Cricetulus griseus: one gene and its partner. The protein of the gene in region 1 interacts with the protein of each later gene in a biochemical or structural test. Links are inferred from orthologs where the notes say so. Each region holds a gene or a part of one and is shown on either strand. Other genes may lie near its edges.

Evidence for each region.
Region 2: the proteins of Pstpip1 (region 1) and Ptpn18 form a complex in vitro, tested with the Homo sapiens proteins (2 studies listed by BioGRID and IntAct). The link is inferred for Cricetulus griseus from reciprocal best matches to the Homo sapiens genes PSTPIP1 and PTPN18.

The regions. Positions count from the first base shown.
Region 1 is NC_048597.1:167,635,377-167,639,198, reverse strand, and holds part of Pstpip1 (proline-serine-threonine phosphatase-interacting protein 1), read right to left. Parts: intron 3,524-3,822; coding exon 3,425-3,523; intron 2,707-3,424; coding exon 2,610-2,706; intron 1,929-2,609; coding exon 1,838-1,928; intron 1,133-1,837; coding exon of another isoform or gene 1,103-1,132; coding exon 1,047-1,102; intron 823-1,046; coding exon 689-822; intron 1-688. UniProt on the Homo sapiens protein: Involved in regulation of the actin cytoskeleton. May regulate WAS actin-bundling activity. Bridges the interaction between ABL1 and PTPN18 leading to ABL1 dephosphorylation.
Region 2 is NW_023276807.1:13,569,967-13,573,792, reverse strand, and holds the start of Ptpn18 (tyrosine-protein phosphatase non-receptor type 18), read left to right. Parts: upstream 1-984; 5' UTR 985-1,114; coding exon 1,115-1,207; intron 1,208-3,826. UniProt on the Homo sapiens protein: Differentially dephosphorylate autophosphorylated tyrosine kinases which are known to be overexpressed in tumor tissues.

The DNA of each region.
Region 1 (3,822 bases):
AAGAAATGGCAAGTGTATGAGATTGGAGGGTCTCCTGGGTGGGCTGTAATCTGACACTCCACCTTGGCAATCCACGCATGTTGGGCTCCCAGGGTGAATAGTCTGCTGAGTCATGCTCAGGCCTCTAGGGTAGTTCCTTTGGAGACAGACAGGCTGTGAGGTTCCCCGAGAGACTTGGCCTCCTAACTTGCTCAGGTTGTCATGGAGACCTCCTATCCTGGGCTTTTCTCACTGCTCCAACCACTGCAGCATCTCAAAGGCATTTGTCACACCCCAAGAGCAAGCTCTCTTAGACTTAACTATGCAGCCATCTACTGTCACCTGAGTACCCCATTACTCCACAGGCCTGAATCCCTGAATGTGACCTCGGTTAGTGCAGCCCACGTCCAGCCTGCATGCCTTCCAGGTCTTCACCCTCACTTCAGCCACTGCTCGAGTTGGAATCCATCTCAGCAGTCGTTCTGTGGCTGCCCTGATCGCCTTTCTCCAAGGATGTCAGTTCCAGGGCCTCATTTTGGCCATTGTGGGTCTCTGGGTCCACAGCAGCCCTGAGCTGTCAGCCTTATGGTCTCCATGCGTGCAGATTTGTGCAGCTAGCAGCCCAGCAGATGTTCACTAAACTCTGGTGCTGGTCTAAGTGCTCATGCCTAGGCATGGGTACCCTCTAGCCAAAGGGCAAATGCCTCACCTGTGCTGTGTAGTCATAGAGCGCCCGGTAGTTCTGGGCTGATGTGTCATGGTTCCCCTGTGTTGCCTGCACGTCGATGGCTGCATAGACCAACTCTTTGTGCTCAGGAGTAGGAGCCAGAGAATCTGTGGAAGCTGAGAGCAAGATGAGACTGGAATTAGCCCCCTCCCTGAGGACAGTGGTCCCTGGAGACTGCTGGGGGCGGGCTTGATCCCAACGCCATTCCCGCTCTTGGACAGTATACCTTTCCCTTTGGGGTGTTAATGCTCCACCTATGCTGCTATGTAGGAGTTCTCTCCTCCTCTGGAGTCTTAGGTGACATGTCCCCTGTCCCATTATCCCCTCCCCCCTCATTTACCAGCAGGTAGTTGAGAAGATGTGATCTTGGGACTTCCATGCAGCAGCCCAGAGAACCTGGAGGAAGAGGGGAAGGCCTGGCGGAACCTCATGGGAAGCAGAGGGACTTGTTGAAATTCTCAGCACTCAGGGACCTCTGCCAGCCTGTGGCCACATCTCCGGGCCACCCCACAGGCCATTTCTGGCAGTGCCTTCATCCTCAGCACCCCCCTCCCATACACTCCTGGTCATCTCAGCACCTGCAACCAGCAGGGCCCTAACCCCGGGAGAGACACGACATACACACCCCCACCCTGCCCTGCATGGGAAGAAGCTGCGCTTAAAGTTCTTCTCCCACACATTTTACCAGGCCCAGCCAGTTTGAACCAAGCAAGTCTTCCTTCCTTTGGCCCATGGTGACTAGACCCGGTCACTCACAGGGCACAAAACAAGGATCCTGGCACCTGATGACAACCAGGCTAAGGAGGTGGCCCTGTAAAAACCTGGTGAATTCTCCAAATGCCTGGGCTCTGGGCCACTTTTAAACCACCTGGAGAGTGCCATCATTGCTGCCTGACAGTTAAGACACTATATCCCCCCTCACGGTGAGGCCAAGGGAGCCAGATGAGGCACTTGCCCAGGTCTCAGCATAGCCACTGGTCAGTAATTGCAATGTGAGTGATTAGTACTTGGTTCCTCTTGGACTGAGGGCTCCCTGAGGGTAGTTTGATCATGGGATATCTCCGTGGAGTACCCTGTACCTGGACAGGGCACCAGACCTACAGGGAGCTGTTCAGTCCATCCGTGTCTCACCTCTTTATCACACCACAGGATGGCTGGACACTAGGGCTGCAAATTAGTGGGGTGACTTCCCGGTCATAGTAATTCTGATACGGCACCGGAGCTGAAGAGAGAAAATGCACAAGGCCTAGAGTAGCGCGGCCTGCGGACTGTACCTGGCCCCACTTACCCCTTATGGCTCTGGACCAGAATTTTTTTTGTTGTTTTGGTTTTTTGAGACAGGGTCCCTCTATGTAACTCAGGTTGACCTCAAATTCACAGAGATCCACCTGCCTCTGCCTCTGCCTCCCAAGCGTCGGGATTAAAGGCATATTTCACTATGCCAGGCTTTTGTTTTTAAAGATTTTTGTTAATTTTAATTATGTGTAGATGTGTATGCATTCATGTGGAAGCCAGAGGTGTGGATTCCCTGGAGCTGCCGTCGTGAGTTGCCTGATGTGGATGCTGAACTGAATGGCTCCTCTGCAAGAGCAGCAGACGCTCTTAGCCACTGAGCTGTCTCTCCAGCCCAGAATTCTGCATTTGTGATTTTATACAACAGGTCGGGATTGGTGCAGACCGTTCTACTGTGACCTCCTTAAAATTTCCCATCCTCCTCTCTTGCTCCTGAGAACACTAGAGCACTCAGCTCTGTTCCTTTTAAACCTTAAGGGAAATAAGCCAAGAGCCCAGTCCCAGAATGTACTGTCCCCCAGCCTACGTGTGGTCAACTGAACTCAATCGGGAAGTGTGGGCTAGCCAGGCCTGGCTCCGGGAGCTAAGCCGCCCACAGGCTGGGTCTTACCTGGGGGCTCTCTGCCAGTGCTCTTGGACTGGATGAAGCCATTGATGTCACCGTCCACATTACAGCCTTCAAGTGTCAGCCGTACCTCTTCATAGAGCTGTGGGTAGGGAATGAACAAAGGCTGTGTCCAGGCTTCACCCCAATATCTGCCCTTGCCAGTCACCTTGATACCTAGTCTTGCTATATAATTCAGGCTCAGTGCTGGGATGTCAGGCCTGCCAGAGAAATTAGTGACCTGACTGATGTTCCGAAGTTTCCTGAACACCAAGCTCAGAGTCCCGGGAAGAGGCCCGGCTCACTGTAGTCCTCTGAGGCCCAAGGTATAACCTGTTTTAAGATGGGAGAACGCACGAAAAGGGAAGTGGCATGCCAGGGTATCAGAGCCCACACCTGTTGCTACCACTAGGATCAGGTGGCTCATAGGCAGGAGTGGTCAAGAGCTGCCCTGGTGTAGGTGGTAGCCCCCTGGCCAGCCCTGAGTGTTGGGCTCTGTAAGGTGACAGAGACCCTGAAGGAGCTACGGGGAAGGAGTGTGAGAGAACCTAGACCAGGTTCCCACCAGCCCCTCCAGCCCTCAGCAAGTCTCTGCTGTGTTGCCGAGAGTGGATGGACACAGCCCTGAAGGGGCAGGTGCCCTGAGTGTAGGAGCAGGGAGGAGAAGCAGATGCAGGGAACCACAGGAGTACAATGTTCAAGGTTTGGAGAGTAGGCCAGGGGCCCTGTCAGACTCATGTGAACCGCAGAGGTCTGGGGAGATGCTGGCAGGGCCCCAGAAGACCCGAGCTCACCAAGATGCCCTCTCCCAGCCCACACACCTCATCATCCTTGACACATTGCATGGAGAGCTGGTTACAGTGCACCCACAGGGCATTTCGGAGGATGGTCAGTCGGTCAAACTCCTGCAGCTGGAAGGCCTGTAGGGGAGGAAAGAGGATTGTGGGGCCAGCGCCACCACAGCTCAGCTAGGAGACCAGTACAGACCACTTTGCTGCAGTCAAGTCTAGCAAAGACAACCCTGTAGGTCCCCTGTGCTCGAGAGGAGGCTGGGGGAGCCTAGTGAGAGGCACAGGACTCTCCTGGTTCTGTCCATCAGTAGGGTGTAGGGTGGGCTTTGAGCCCAGTGTAGGCTTATGAAGAATAAATCCCTGCAGGAAAGGGATCCAGGGCACAGGCCAGATAGTGTTGGGGACAGACCCTAGGCACCAGCCAAGCA
Region 2 (3,826 bases), on another chromosome or scaffold:
CCCCTTTTTACTTTATTTTGTGTGTAGTGGGGATGTACCCTTACCAAAGAACCTGTATAGTTGTCAAAATTGACTTTCTGGAGTAAATTTTCTCCTTCCACCATATGGGTACTAGGTACCAAACTCAGGTCATCATGCATGGTGACAAGTGCCTTTACCCACTGAACTATCTCACCAATCCCCATCGTTAAAAAACAAAACAAAACAAACAAACACAAAAAAAGCCCACTCCTTTTCTCCCCTTATGACACAGGGTTTCGCGCATCACAACCTATCTTTGAGCTCATAGTGTAAGCGAGGGTGACCTTGAATTTCTGGTTCTCTTGCCTCCACCTTTTGGATTCTGGGACTTATGGGGTGCTGGAAACGAACCCCAGAGCTTCCTTCATGCTAGGCAGACACTCTACCAAGTCAGCTACAACCTTAGAGCGGCCCCCTTCCCAGGATCCCAGGAGCTTTAGCAGCTGTGGGTGTTGTCTTCTAGTGTTGAGATCTGTTTTTTCCGTGAACTCTTTTCCAGTTCTCTTCTTCCTAGAAGGGTGTGGGTTAAGAGCTTCATGTTGGGACTAGATCATGATGTCCCCGCTTTGCCAGCAGGTTCCATAGAGAAAAAAAAAAAAAAAAAAAAAAAAAAAAAAAAACAGGCGCAGCTGTGGATGTTCGCGAGCTGCAGGCTGAGTGGCCTCACTACTCATTTGCACCAGTGAGGTGCTGGATTCACCTCACTACTTAGGAACCTGGCCTGCGACTTTAAGAGCGCAGCCATCCACCGGGAAAGGGGCGTGGAGGTGAGCCCGATCTAGGAACTGGTTCAAGCGGGTCCGAGCGTTCCGGGAGGACTCCACCGCTCCTGCATAGCAGTCTAGGCACCTGAGGCGCCATCGGGGAATTGCGGGTGGGACAGCCGCAGGACTTCCACTTCTACACCAGCCTCCGCCCGAGCCTGTGGGCATGGCAAAGCAGAATGAATTCCTAATGCGATTGGCTGGGGGGCGTAACCTTCCCGCCAATACCAGTCTTCATTGGCTGCTGGAACCGAGGCCCCGTCCCGCACTGTCTAAACTCTTGGGGGGTCCGACAGCCGCGTGCACAGACCTCGCAGGCGGGTCGCAGCATGAGTCGCCACTTGGACCTGGTGCGGAGTTTCCTGGAGCAGCTGGAGGCCCGGGACCTCCGGGAGGAAGCAATCCTTGCCCGCGAGTTCAGCGTGAGTGACACTCCAGAGATCAAGCTTCGCAGCCAGGCTGTCCCCACCGCTGTCCACCTGTGCAATGTGAAAGCTCTGCCTGTTTCTCTCGGTTCCCGGGACGTCTCCTGCCTCCGGTTCTCTGGTTTCCTCTCCCAGCACCTCTGTCGCGCTCTCACACTCTCTCTGCCTTTCTCTCTCTGCCCTCAGGTGCCCCGAGGGTGAAGTACACGGCTGCCTGGGAGGCATGGGACACACTCAGGCGTCTGTGTAGCGCTCCCGGAGCGACCCTTCTCCCTAGCAGAGCGGTGGCTGCTGCTGGGAAGGGAGGCAGCACACCTGCGCTGGACTCCAGTCCCCCACCCGGGCCACTCCTGGGTCACCTTGTAATCCCTGGGAGGAAGTGGTTTGGGGCAGCAGAAAGAGGAACAGGGAAGCTTTGTCGTTTAGCCTTTGAACTCCGGAGTTTCCAGTTTCAAGTCTATGCCCAGGGCCTTTCAGAACTGTGACCATGGGAAGTCTGGTCTCAAGTTCCAACTGTTTTGAAAATATGAATGTTAAAAGCCAAGTTGGTCTAAGAAATTAGCACATACTGGGTACTCACTGGTTAGGTGCCTTTAACACGGCTTACAAAAACTGCATCAGGCATTGCCAATCAAACCCGTGAGAGGGACTACCACTTAGTAGGCATGGCATACAATAGGTAATGAAGAATTTTAAATGTGGTGGCATACAATAAACAATGAAGAATTTTAAATGTGGTGACATGATCCAAATATGTAAACATGCTGTATCATACTTAGAAATATGCAGTATAAATATATAAAAACAAATGCGACATTAAATGACCACTTACAGCCTAGCATGGTGGCACATGCCTATAATTCCAGCAATTGGTAGCCTAAAGCAGGAGGATCACAGTGTGTTCGAGGCCAGCCTGAGCTACATAATTTGAGGCCACTCTGAAATACAGTGTGAGATTGTCTCAAAGAAAGAAAAAGATAGTTTACACAAAGACCATTATGTAACCCGATGACAATATAACACTGTGGTAGCCCACACATTTAATCCCAGTACTCAAGAGGCAGGGGCAGGCAGTTCTTTGTAAATTTGAGGTCAGCCTGGTTTACTTGGATTGCTCCAGGATAGCCAGGGCTATATTAAAAACCTTGTCTCAAAAAGCCAAAAAGCAAACAAACAAACAAAAAACAAAAAACAAAAAACAAAACAAACAAAAAACAAACCAAATAAACCAATGACAATACCATAATAATACAACAAACATCAATAACCGAACTTATTAAGTTTGCAAGTAAAATACAGAACAAAAAATATAAATTGAATGTGAATCTAAATAATTTACACATGTAAATATTATAACATAAGAAATATGTATTACATATATATACATACATATATATATGTATATATATATATATATATATATATATATATATATATATATAGCATTGGGTGTCCTGAAACTCAATCTATAGACCAGGCTGGCCTCAAACTCACAGAGATCTGCCTGCTTCTGCCTCCTGAGCTGGGATTAAAGATGTGTGCCATCACCACCAGACCTAAAATATAGAATTTATAAACAAGAAAATGTGTATAAATATGCATGTGGTATAACTTTCAGGTTGATGAAGAAAGCAGTTCTGAGGGCTCCATGCGGAATCTTGCACACACTCATGCACTCACTCACTCACTCACTCACTCACTCATGCACTCACTCATGCACTCACTCATGCACTCACTCACTCATGCACTCACTCACTCACTCATGCACTCACTCATGCACTCACTCACTCATGCACTCACTCACTCATGCACTTACTCACTCATGCACTCACTCACTCATGCACTCACTCACTCATACACTCACTCACTCATGCACTCACTCATGCACTCACTCACTCATGCACTCACTCTCATGCACTCACTCACTCACGCACTTACTCACTCATGCACTCACTCATGCACTCACTCACTCATGCACTCACTCACTCATACACTCACTCACTCATGCACTCACTCACTCATGCACTCACTCACTCATACACTCACTCATGCACTCACTCACTCATGCACTCACTCACTCATACACTCACTCATGCACTCACTCACTCATGCACTTACTCACTCATGCACTCACTCATGCACTCACTCACTCATGCACTTACTCACTCATGCACTCATGCACTAACTCACTGAGTACCTATAGAATCTTCTTATAAGTTATATATTATAACTCATATATATGATATATTGTCATGTTGTATCTTATATAAGGCTTTTATTTTTAAATCTACCCATTAAGCCATCTCCCTCACCCCAGTTTCATTTGTTTGGGGATGGAGATCTTTTGCGTACCACAGCACCTATGTAGACGTCAGAGAACAAGTTTCTGGTGTTGCTTCTCACTCCTTATTATGGTGTGGGATCTGGGGATTGAGTACAAATCTTCAGGCCTGAACGCCAAGTGCTTTTACCCACTGAGAAAACTTTTGGGTCCAGATAATGCGCATTTTATTACTTATGATACAGTATAATGTGGATTGAGTGTGCAGGTCTGGAGGGCAAGCTCTTTGTGGGACCTTTGGCAAGTTGCTCAACCGCTTCCTACATCAGCTTTCA